Linked DNA regions of Cricetulus griseus. The protein of the gene in region 1 purifies or fractionates together with the protein of each later gene. This does not show direct contact. Links are inferred from orthologs where the notes say so. Each region holds a gene or a part of one and is shown on either strand. Other genes may lie near its edges. The genes, in order: Fhl2, Cnot1 and Eya3.

Region 1 (4,355 bases):
AGCTGGTAAAATCTGTTTTTCGAGACAGGGTTTCTCTGTGGCTTTGGAGGCTGTTGTCCTGGAACTAGCTCTTGTAGACCAGGCTGGTCTCGAACTCATAGAGATCTTCTGCCTCTGCCTCCCGAGTGCTGGGATTAAAGGGATGTGCCACCAACACCCAGTTTGAGATAACTAACTTTACATAGAGGGGCTGAGCATCCTGGGGAGGCCATATATATATATACATATATATATATATATATATATATATATATATATATATATGATGCCGAGTAAGTGACAGGTCATGTGACCCCCCTTGCCTCTCATGTTCTGAGATTCCATCATGGGGATCCTCTTGTGGTGCCAGTCAGGAAGTATCAATGAGAAGAAAGCCATCCCACAGCTCTCCCTGCCTTCTCTAACATATGTTACCCCGAGCTCCCCTGGAGAATGCCTACACCCAAAACCATTGTGATGGTCCTTCAGTCGATTGGCTGAACTTGGGAACCCCTAGGAGACACACCTCTTTGAGGGCAGTTCCAGAGAGGTTTAACCGAGGGGCAAAGACTGACCCCCAAATGTGGACAGCACCTCTCAAGAGCTGGCCTCTCAGACTGGATGAAAAGGGGAAATTAAACTGTTTCCTGACTGAGAAGGCAATGTGACCAACCAACTTGACATTCTCACAGTGGCCATGCCATCTCAGTGATGACCAGCTGTATTCCTTCATAAACCCTGCAGCCAAACGAATCCTTCCATTAAGTTGTTGGTCAGGTTACAGCACTGAGAAGTCCTTGCCTCTGCCACTGCATGTGGGCCCCCCACCTACTCAAGAGCAGATGCTGCCCTTCCTAGACGTGGGGATGCGGGTACCTTCCACCACCATGTTGGACATTGCCTCCTGTCCCTACTAAGGGCCAGCTCTGTGCAGAAGACCTTGGCTTTGAGCATGAAGGACACATTAAGCCCTTCATTTGCTTTCTGCCTGCATGGAGCCACTGAATGTCAACAGCTAAACAGCTCTCAACCTTCTCTCAGTCAGCTACCTGGTGGAACAGAGTCATTAAAGATTCTTTACGTCATTGGTTGGGTTCATTCCACCACGGAGAGGTATTTGCAAGGGAAGGCCGGGGAAACTACCATGCCAGTGCATGCCCTACGCACACATCGTTCCTCCCCCAAATCTCCAAATGGCCCACCCATGCTTGCCCAGACGGCGACCAGGCGCAGACCCAGCAACCCAGAGGAGGGTCCTGGTGAGAATAGACCCATGTCATTCTGCCCTTAGGTGACAGCGGCCACAACCCTCTGCACTGCACTGCCACTGGCCCCTGGAGCGGAGGCCAGGGCGCAGGGAGGCTTGACTCTGTGCGCCACACACCGGGAAGTAAAGAAGAACGTTAAGTCAAACAAAGGGTCCGCAGCAGCTGCAGCAGGGGGGAACACGCGACGACAGGCGATCGAGGGGCGCTCGCCACCGCGCCCTGCTCCCTTGGCCCGCGCGCCCAGCCCGCCGCCCCTGCGCGTGTGTCCTTATATGGTCAAATGACTCGGCGGGGGTTCTCGAGGGCGGGAGCCGAGCCGGCTGCACTCCGCCTGCTGAGCCGCCGCCGCCGCCACCACCACCGCGCAACAGTCCTCTGAGTGCCCTAGACCCCGGCCCCGTCTTGCGCGAGTACTCCTGCCGCCGCCCAGTCCACAGCCGGACCTGGTACACAAGAATAGCCAGCAGACAGCTGCCCTAGCACGCGTGGAGAGACACCGGTGGCCAGCGTACCCTGACCGTGGGGCGGAGACCCGGCAGACCCGAGCAGGGCTGTGCAGACCGCACCCCTGTAGGGACCCAAAACGGGAGGAACAGATCCTGGAGGTAGGAGAGCCCTGTTTTGCAGAGGACACCAGGGATGGGGACCTAAAACGGAGAGCGTAGATCCGGGGAGAGGAGAGCCTAGCTGGGCAGGGGATACTCAGAAAGGGGACTCGAAATGAAGGGGAAGGAGGGGATACGGAGAGTCATGGAGACGGTGGACCGGAAACATGAGAGAAGAAGGGGAGTCTTGAAGGGGAGACCTCAGAACCGGGGAGTTGATCTACAGGAAGAGCGGATGCGGGGCAGAGAGGACTAGAATCATGAGTGCTAGGGACCCGAGCACAGGAGAGTCTGACTTGGGAATGGTGGGGAAGGGGACCATTGGTGTCCAGAGAGAGGGCTACAGCCCTAGAGGAGTGAGTCGCCGCCAGGTGGTGAGAGACGATGAGTCTCCCCCAGAGGCAAAGTGGAACTGGTCTCTGAAGTCTATGGAAGGGAGGTGACACGCTGGTCAGCACGTGGATGGCCAGGCATTTCCCTTGGGAAGAAATGGGAGTTTGCCTGTGACCACACATCTTGACTCATCCACAAAATTAAAACCTGAGCCATAGGGTTAAAGAAAAATAATAATAATAACGCTTTGAAATGAACAGAATTCTAACTGATAGATTGCAGTCTTGTGATGTCTTGTGGAAAGAAACGCTTCAATGCTGTTTCTGGTTTTAAATGAAGCATTGGTCGTATTTGCTTGATAGTCTCCAGTTGTGTCTCTGGAACTCACCGAAGCAGGCATTTTATGAAATATGCAGCTGTCTTTGGCAAAGCCAACTTGTGGCGTGCACTTTCTTGCACATATTTTTAGGAAGTAATGAACTACAATTTGGGCTTACAGTCATGATGAGATTGTCTTCAAAACACTACTCTAAATGTGTGTCATGTCGTGGTGTTGCTCTGCTTATATGTATATTTTGCAGTAATGTATGTGAGGAAGGTTGCTTGTGGTAGTGTTACTGTGGTTATCGTTTGAGATAAATCCTTACTCTGTAGCTGGGAAAGCCTGGAGTTTACCATGCCATCTCAGGTGAACTCACACTGGTGCCTATCCTCCTGCCTCAGCCTCCAAAGTGTTGCAATTACAGGAATGACCACGAATTCCTCAAGCCCCCCTCTCCCTCCCACAAAAAAACCCAATTTGCCCTAAGGCTTAGAGTTCCCAACCCATTACCTAAAGGTCAATAAAACCAAATTTAAAACAGTCATTTTTCTCACTCTTTTTTTCAGATTCATCTCTCTCCTAGTTTTTAACAGAATAGTGTGTTGCATTGGTGGCCCCCATCCTGGCTTCTCTTTGTTCTACCTCCTTGCTGTCCGGCCTAACAGATACAACATGGATAGGTGTAGAAAGCTTGGTTGGCAGATGCACCTGGAACAGAACCAAGATGCCAGAATTAACACTGGGACCTCTTAGCCCACATGGCCTTGCCTAATTCACAAAATCTATTGGTTGCTCAGTTTCCTCCGAGAGAATCAGATAACAAAGACGCTTTCCCAGCATACATATATACACATATGTGTGTATATAGATGCATATATATCCTGCATATTATATGCAGCATATGTAGATTTTATAGCCTCTTGTTCACAGATAAGAAAACTGAAACAGAATGGTCGAAGTAACTCTGATGTCCAAAGTTTCCCAGTATGTAGATTGTAGCCCTGAGAGCTGTATCTGGAGATTTCTACTCTGTACTGGGCCTCACTGTATGAATATTTTGTTGAGGCCCTATGCGGCATGTTTTTACCTAAGACTGTTAAATGCCTTCAATACTAAGCACTATCTCAACTTCAGAGAGAAATGCGTAGCAGGATATAGAAGAAAAAAATTCAGAAAGCCAAGAGGAGTGGATTCTCCCCCTGTTCTGCACAGAGGGCTGGCTACCCAGCACCTAACACACCACGTCCAAGTCACTGTTCTATTGTTGTGAGAAGACACCACGACCAAGGCAACTCTTATAAAAGAGAGCATTTAGTAGAGGGCTGGTTACAGTTTCAGAGGCTTAGTCCATTACTGTCACTGTCACAGCAGAGAGCATGGTGGCACTCAGGCAGACTTATGCTGGAGACGTAGCTGAAAGTTCTATTTTATGATCCACAAGTAGCAGGAAGAAAAATGGGGCTGAGTCTGGCATGGGCTTTTGAAACCTCAAAGCCTACCCTTAGCAACACACTTCCTCCATCAAGACCACACCTCCTAATCCTTCTAATCCTTCGGAGAATTCCACTTCCTGGTGGCTAAGCATTCGAACATATGAGCCCACAAGGATCACTCTAATATAAACTACCACACACCAGCTTAGCCATTTGTAAGCAGCTGTGGTTCAGATATGATTTTTCTTCAAGACTCTTGTGTTGGAAGCTTGGTCATCCTTGGGTAAATGTTGGGAGGTAGGGAGTGAAGTCTAGAGGTTAGAGAGCTGGTCCATCAGCTAGGAGTACTTACAGAGGGCTTGAGTTGGACACACCATTCATGAACCCCGGTAACTTCTACTACAAAAGAGCCTAT
Region 2 (3,649 bases), on another chromosome or scaffold:
TTATTTCACGTATACACAGCAGCTTTCTTTCTTTCTTTCTTTTGGCAGACAACATCCCTCCCCAGCTTTATTTTTTACATAGTTACAATTTTACATATTTATGTACTAATTAACATTTTCTATCTTTACAACTACAAAATGATTTCACACTGGGAGAGTGTGGGAACATTGAATTCATTTCAACATAGACTCTGTAGCATCTATCTGTTTTATCCTCTAAACGGAAGAATTTGCCCCAAACCAACAACAGTGTCCACCACAGAGGAAGCCCATGGGAAAATCAGGGAGGACAGAAAAGATGGAAACATAATTCACCCACTTCTCTATTACATTTCCCCGAATCCTCTTTGACTCCTAGTCCCGTCTAACTTAATGTCTCATTGGCCAAACAGTATTTTATTTAACAATCAATAAAATAAATATACACAGAACATTCCCCATCACGCTTCCCCTGCTAGGAAAAAATAAAACAATTCCTAAAACTGTACCTTAAAAATACTTTGACGTTTTAAGCAGTTAATTCGTATCCCAGACCTGAACAGTGGAACACAGAAGCTCCCTGAAATCAGCCCCAAGTAAATATGGCCATGAGCAGACATCATCCTGCGTATACCTGAGGCTGCAAGGGGTGGGCGGGGGGTGTCATTCTCTACATTTTCAGAGTCAATGGCTGCTAATGGTTGGTTTGGGGGCTTAATCTCAAGTGGGTATTTCTCAGCAGTGTCTTGAACTTCCTTGGCAATTCTGTCCATCCAGTCTATTAAGTCTTTTTCAAGTTTCTTAGCTTCATTCATGATCCTTTCCTGACGTTCATTCAACTGAGACAGGAGGTCCAAGTTCTTTTTTGGTTTTTCAAAACAGGGTTTCTCTGTGTGGCTTTGGAGCCTATCCTGGCACACGCTCTGGAGACCAGGCTGGCCTCGAACTCACAGAGATCCGCCTGCCTCTGCCTCCCGAGTGCTGGGATTAAAGGTGTGAGCCACCAACACCCGTCCAGAGGTCCAAGTTCTTATACATTTGCTTCACACCTAAGCAGGCTTCGGGGGACCAGGTCTCAGACTCCTGCTTCCTTGGGGAAGTCTGGTCGGACATGTATCGGTCAAAATTCTCCTGACTTAAATTCAAAGACTGAGCCTCTAATTTCTCAATGAAAGCCACAGCACAGCACAGGTTGGTGAAATAGTAGCCATCTTTGCCAGTCATAAGCCGGCTGGGTTTGCAGAAGCGAGTGGTGTACTGGATGTTGGACTGCAGCCGAGGTGGGGGTTGCCCTTCAGGAGGATGTAGATGAGGGTGGGCAGGAAGTCATCAGCTGAGGCTGGCTCATTCTTGGTCATCTGATGGCATTGAAGATGTGCTTGCTGCACGTGATGATGCAGGCTAGCTTGTCCCGAGGCACACGCTTGAGTCCATCTCAATGATGTCTGTGATCGCTTTCACCACCATGTCAGACACGTCAGGGATTTCCTCATTGACAGGGACACAGAGCATCTGAGGTGTCACCCAGTGCAAAGCCCTGATCCTCTTTTGAATGGCAAGCTCTTTTTTCTCATTATCAGTAGTCTCTGGGCAGAACACAAATTTATAGAGACGGGTCATAATGTGCTTTTCCATCTAATCCATTATCTGGAGGCACTTTTCCACGAGTCTGCATTCTTTCAGCCACATTCTGGTATAAGTCCTGAGTACATTCTGACTGTTCCTCAATGCTTAAATCCCTTTTGTAATGCATTGCTTCCAAGAACATCTTCATCTGTTTATAGATTTCTTGGCCTGTCTGTGTCTTGAGAAAGTCTATGAACTCTTTAGTTATTCTATCCGTCTCAATGCTGATTTGCCTGTTTATGGAGGGTCTGGGAGCTTTGGCTTCCTGAATGTCTGCCTTCTTGGATCCAACCCTGGAAGAGGCATTGAAGAACTTCTTCACTGTGGTGACCTTGTGGGTCTTCTCATTGGTTTTCTTTTCCTCAAACTTGGAGAAAGTGAGGGACTGGGCTCCTTGGCTGCTCTGACTGCTAGCAAAGGCCTCTTCCTCTTCCCGCTGGCCTTTCTGCTAGCTCCCAGTCAGTCCTCTTGGATCTGCTTCTGGTGGGCCTTGTGGTACTCCTCCCTCTAGCACTTAGAATAGAAACCCTGCCAGGCAGGGGTGCCCGTAGTAACTACATCCTTTCTTGCATAGGAGCTCAGATTGAGCCACATGAATTTCCCAGCGTTCAGACTTCAGGCTCATCTTTCTGGTCCGCCCCTCCTCCGGCATCCGACAGCCGCTCCCAGCGCCACTTCAGTCACTCTGCTCCTCGCCCCACCCCTCCACAGCAGTTTTCTAAGTGCTAGATGAAATAGAATGTTTTAGCTGGTTGGATGGTGAGACAGTGCTGAACTAGGTCTCCACTATTGAGACATTAAAGGAAATCTGTAGAATGTAAAATGGTAGCCCTCCCTCCCTCTTAATTTATGTATTTGCATTGTTGTTTGCCTACACGAGCATCTGTGAAGGGTGTTCTATTCCCTGGAACAGGAGTTTACAGACAATTGTTAACTGCTGTGTGGGTGCTGGGAATTGAGCCCAGGTCCTCTGGAAGAGCAGTCAATGCTCTTAAACCACTGAGCCATCTCTCCAGCCCCTTAAGAATTTCAGTAAAACATTTTTATTAACAGGTTAAGCACAGTCTTTTTATAAAAACAAGTATGTAAGGCTGGATGGTGGTGGGTGCATGACTCCTGAATTCTCTTGGATCTACAGAATTCCAGGACAGCCAAGACTACACAGATAAACCCTGTCTCAAAAAACAAAAGACAAAAACAAGTGTGTAAGAGTTTCGCTAATTCATAACATGGAAAGTTTTGCAAATAAAACCTACAGAAGCAAAAACAGTGGGATCCAGAGAACCACTAGTAAACCACAGAATTAGAATAACCTTCACAGATTTTCATGTCATCCTTGCACAAGGCCATGCTGATTTTCTTATTTGTGTGGTTAAAAGTGAGTTCCCTGGTATATCAGTCCCCTTCAGAAACAGAACATTTGTCTCCCATATTGGCCTTTCAGAGTAAACCCAAAATCTCATTTCCTTCATTTTTAGGCCGGTATCTTTTCTTAAATGCAATTGCAAACCAGCTGCGGTACCCAAACAGCCACACTCACTACTTCAGCTGCACCATGCTGTACCTTTTTGCTGAGGCAAACACTGAGGCAATCCAGGAACAGATCACAAGGTAAGAGATCATTGTCAAGATGCCTTAAAAGGGCACTATGGACTTCCCTTTAAGGTTTTAAGGAGGAGAAACTAGGAGCAAACTGTTTTCTGTTGTTTAATATGCATATGGTACATAGTACAGTGAGGTACACATACCTTAAAGATTTTAATGTATGTTAGGTGTGGTGGCACACCCCTTTAATCCCAGCACTCGGGAGGCAGACAGATCTCTGAGTTCCAGGATAGCCAGTGCTACACAAAGAAACCCTCAATAAAACAAAAAAGATTTAATTTACCTGTTCACCTCAATAAATACTAGTGCCCATTGTTCTCAGATGTTCACAACATCTGAACTGTTGTGTTTAATGCATGCTTGGATGACAAAGTACCATTTTGTTTGTAATTATGTCTAAAGCTGCAACAAAGGCTTCAGTCCTTAATCTTTGCCCCAA
Region 3 (3,649 bases), on another chromosome or scaffold:
AAGTGCTGGGATTAAAGGCTGTACCACTCTGCCCATCTGTGATTTGGTGTTGATCACTGTTATATTACATGTGCTTAGATGATCACTATAGCATCTTCAGTGTTCAAGTTTGTTTAATTGTTAACATGCTCAGACTTTCTCTGCAGCAACTGCTACGATCATTGCTGTCTCCACCAACTGTTTTTTGGCTACAGTTTACCTTCTCTGATTGACCTTCTGCGTCTCACTGCCCTACTCTTGCTGTGTCTGTACTTTCTTAAGTGCACAATTACCTTGGGGTTGAGAGGGTGCTGTTTTGTTCTGGGTGGATGGGTTGTTATTTTGAAATAGGGCCTCACTATATGTACCTTTGCTGTTCTGGGATACACCATATTTCAGGCCTCAAACTTGCATTGCTCCTCCTGTTTGTCTACTGAGCTGAGTTCACATGCCACCACAGTGGTCCAATGTTTTTGCTGAATTCCTAGCTGTCCTCCATGTAGCCTGTGTGGCTCTTTTCTTTTTGGTCTCCTAAGGCTAGTGTCTATAGCTACTTACTTCTGAAGTGTGTTTGACCAAACTCACTTGTCAACTTAGATGATGCATCTGTACTCAGGTGTCTGCATTTTGAAAATCATTGATTTCTTGGGACCTACGACTAGGTAGGTAGATAAAGAAGACAATATTTTAGGAAAATAATTATGACTAATAGAGAAGAAAAAGCCTCTTGTGTTTATACCTCTTGTAATGGTCGTGTTTTCCTCCCTTTGGTCCACAGGATTATCCTACCTATACTATCCTTGGACAGAATCAGTACCAGTCCTGCTACCCCAGCTCCAGCTTTGGAGTCACAGGCCAGACTAACAGTGATGCTGAGAACACTGCATTAGCAGCTACCACGTACCAGACAGAGAAGCCTAGTGCTATGGTACCTGCACCAGCCACACAGAGACTTCCCTCTGGTGAGTGCTGAAAGCTGGATTAAGGACACTGCATCCAACAGCGTTTCCAAGTGATGGTAAAAATGATTTTGTTCTGGGATAAGTTGGTTTCCGTTTCCAAGTTTAAACTTTGCAAACAGACTGATGAGAAACTGGCAGAATGTCTGTAGACGCTGAGAACAGAAAAGTCCCAACAGTGAGAAGATGTTTCTAGTGCATACTCTGCCCTCCCAGTAAGTGTAACACACTCACCAGGGCTCTTCAGACTAAGGGTATATTTGTTGGAGGTTGCAGGGCTCCAGTTTTAATCCAGGCATGTCTTAGATTCCTGCTAGGAACTCAGAGCAGGAGTTTCTGTGTCTTAAATTTCCTTAAGATTCCAAGAACAGCTACAGTCCTTTCCCAGTTGTCCTAACATTTGACTCACAAGGCTAGACACTGCTTGTGAGTGGCACTGGGAAGCATGGCTCTGCCTGTACTGCCATCAGCAGCCTGAAGAGTTCCCTTCTACTTAGGGACTTCTCATTTGCATAAAACCTAATTCTTTATTATGCTATAGAACTTTACAATCAGCCAAAGTGAGCAAAATTTGTAAGTTAGTTAAAATCAGGGAGAGTACATGCTTCACAAGTGTAAGTGTGGGAATTAGAATGCTTGGGAAAGATTACACAGCTTCGAAGCTGTGACTCCTCAAGGGAGAACTGCACGTAGGTGGCTTTACAATGATTTTGTGTCTAAGCCACATTGCTCAAAGAATAAAGTTTAAAGAATAAACAAAACTTGCCAGGTGGTGGTGCACACCTTTAATCCTTGCACTCGGGAGGCAGGAGGCAGGAGGCGGGAAGTGGGAGGCGGGAGGCGGGAGGCAGAGGCAGGAGGATCTCTGTGAGTTTGAGTCCAGCCTGGTCTACAGAGCGAGGTCCAGGACAGCCTCCAAAGCTACACAGAGAAACCCTGTCTTGAAAAACAAATAAACAAACAAACAAACAAAACTTAAATTTTAAGTAAAGTTTAAATATTAAGTAAAAAGGCTGGATGTGGGGCTGGAGAGATGGCTCAGTGGTTAAGAGCACTGACTGTTCTTCCAGAGGCCCTGAGTTCAATTCCCGGCAACCACATGGTAGTTCATAACCACCTTGAATGAGAGCTGATGCCCTTGGCTGGCATGCAGGAAGAAGAGTGTATACATAATAAATTTAAAAAAAAAAAAAAAAAAAAAGCTGGATGTGGTGGCAAACACCTTTGACACTTAGACTTAGGAGGCTAAAGCAGTCAGATATCTGTGAGTTCTAGGCCAGCCTGGTCCACATAGTGAGCCCATATCTCAAAAAACAAACAAACAAAAAAACAACAACAAAAAAAAAAAACCAAAGGTTAGAGATTAGTTCTTCTATTTTGCACTAGAGATGGCTCCACAGTTAAGAGCACTGACTGTTCTTCTAGAGGAGCTGGGTTCAATTCCCAGCACCCACATGGCAGCTCACAACTGTCTGGAACTCCATCAGCTCCATAGGATCTGATGTCCTCTCTAACTTCCTGGGACACTGCATATGTGTGGTGCACAGACTTACATGCAGGCAAAACATACATATAAAATAACAATAATAATTTTTTTAAAAACTGTAAAGCTGATTTATTTCTCTTTAAATTTTCTTTTAGATTTATTTATATTATTTGTGTGTGTTTTATATGCCTACATGTATGTATACCAGTGCTTTTCTGCTGCCCTCTAAGGTCAGAAGAGGGCTTCGGGCTCCCTGGAACTGGAGGTGCAGGGGCTCTGGGTTACAGGTAGTGGCTGGAACTAAATCCAAGTCTCCGCAAAAGGAACAAGTGCTCTAAGCCATCTTTCAGTCAAGGGCATTTTCCTCATAACTGAAATTGTAAGTGCTTTTCATAAGGTGTGTTGTTTAGCTTTAAGGATGAGAGAAGGGTGCTAGTACAATTAAACTCTGGCCATAAGTAGGCACAATTTATTGTTCGCTGCCCTTTGAGGATGTCTTTAGGAAGTCAGATACTGTCTCTGAAGGCCAGTGATTCTCAACATGTCAGTCATAAGCCCTTAGTGTTGTCCAGTGACCCTCACAGGGGTCACCTAAGACCATTGGAAAACACAGATATTTACTTTAAGATTCATAAAAGTAGCAAAATTGCAGTTATAAAGTAGCAATGAAAATAATTTTTTTGTTTGGGGGTCACTACAACATGAGGAACTGTATTAAAGGCCCCCAAATTAGGAAGGTCGAACCATTGATGTAGGAAGATATTGTCTCTGTAGGCAGTTCTTCAGACTCCCAGCCAGATTGTGGTATATGGGGCTTCTCTCTTATTTTTAAACCCTGGTTTTTTATTTTGTTTTTTTATTGCTCCTCATGCTGACCCCTCTCCTTACTATGGGTCTCATAGCTTGTGACTGCTGACAGTTTGTATCTTACTTTTCCTTTCAATAGATTCATCTACAAGCCCATCTTTGTCCCAAACTACACCAAATAAAGACGCTGATGATCAGTCCAGGAAGAATATGACTGTCAAGAACCGGGGCAAGAGGAAAGCTGATGCCGGTTCCTCCCAGGACAGCGAATTAGAAGTATGTGAAGAAACTCACTGGAGTTACCTATTCTGTTTTCCTTACTTCCAGTCAAGTGCATGTCTCCAATTTGCAGAGATAATGTTATTGTATGTTGTGTCCACTTGAATTCCTGGGGCCGGGGGCTGGCGTTAATTAGCCA

What was found.
Region 2: the proteins of Fhl2 (region 1) and Cnot1 purify together in Homo sapiens (affinity purification with mass spectrometry; 3 studies listed by BioGRID and IntAct, with this or other methods). This does not show direct contact. The link is inferred for Cricetulus griseus from reciprocal best matches to the Homo sapiens genes FHL2 and CNOT1.
Region 3: the proteins of Fhl2 (region 1) and Eya3 purify together in Homo sapiens (affinity purification with mass spectrometry; 3 studies listed by BioGRID and IntAct, with this or other methods). This does not show direct contact. The link is inferred for Cricetulus griseus from reciprocal best matches to the Homo sapiens genes FHL2 and EYA3.

What each region holds. Positions count from the first base shown.
Region 1 is NW_023276807.1:5,338,570-5,342,924, forward strand, and holds the start of Fhl2 (four and a half LIM domains protein 2), read left to right. Parts: upstream 1-1,541; 5' UTR 1,542-1,852; intron 1,853-4,355. UniProt on the Homo sapiens protein: May function as a molecular transmitter linking various signaling pathways to transcriptional regulation. Negatively regulates the transcriptional repressor E4F1 and may function in cell growth.
Region 2 is NC_048596.1:171,908,682-171,912,330, reverse strand, and holds part of Cnot1 (CCR4-NOT transcription complex subunit 1), read left to right. Parts: intron 1-598; exon of another isoform or gene 599-842; intron 843-1,011; exon of another isoform or gene 1,012-2,245; intron 2,246-3,083; coding exon 3,084-3,216; intron 3,217-3,649.
Region 3 is NC_048595.1:20,577,854-20,581,502, reverse strand, and holds part of Eya3 (eyes absent homolog 3), read left to right. Parts: intron 1-757; coding exon 758-941; intron 942-3,370; coding exon 3,371-3,507; intron 3,508-3,649. UniProt on the Homo sapiens protein: Tyrosine phosphatase that specifically dephosphorylates 'Tyr-142' of histone H2AX (H2AXY142ph). 'Tyr-142' phosphorylation of histone H2AX plays a central role in DNA repair and acts as a mark that distinguishes between apoptotic and repair responses to genotoxic stress.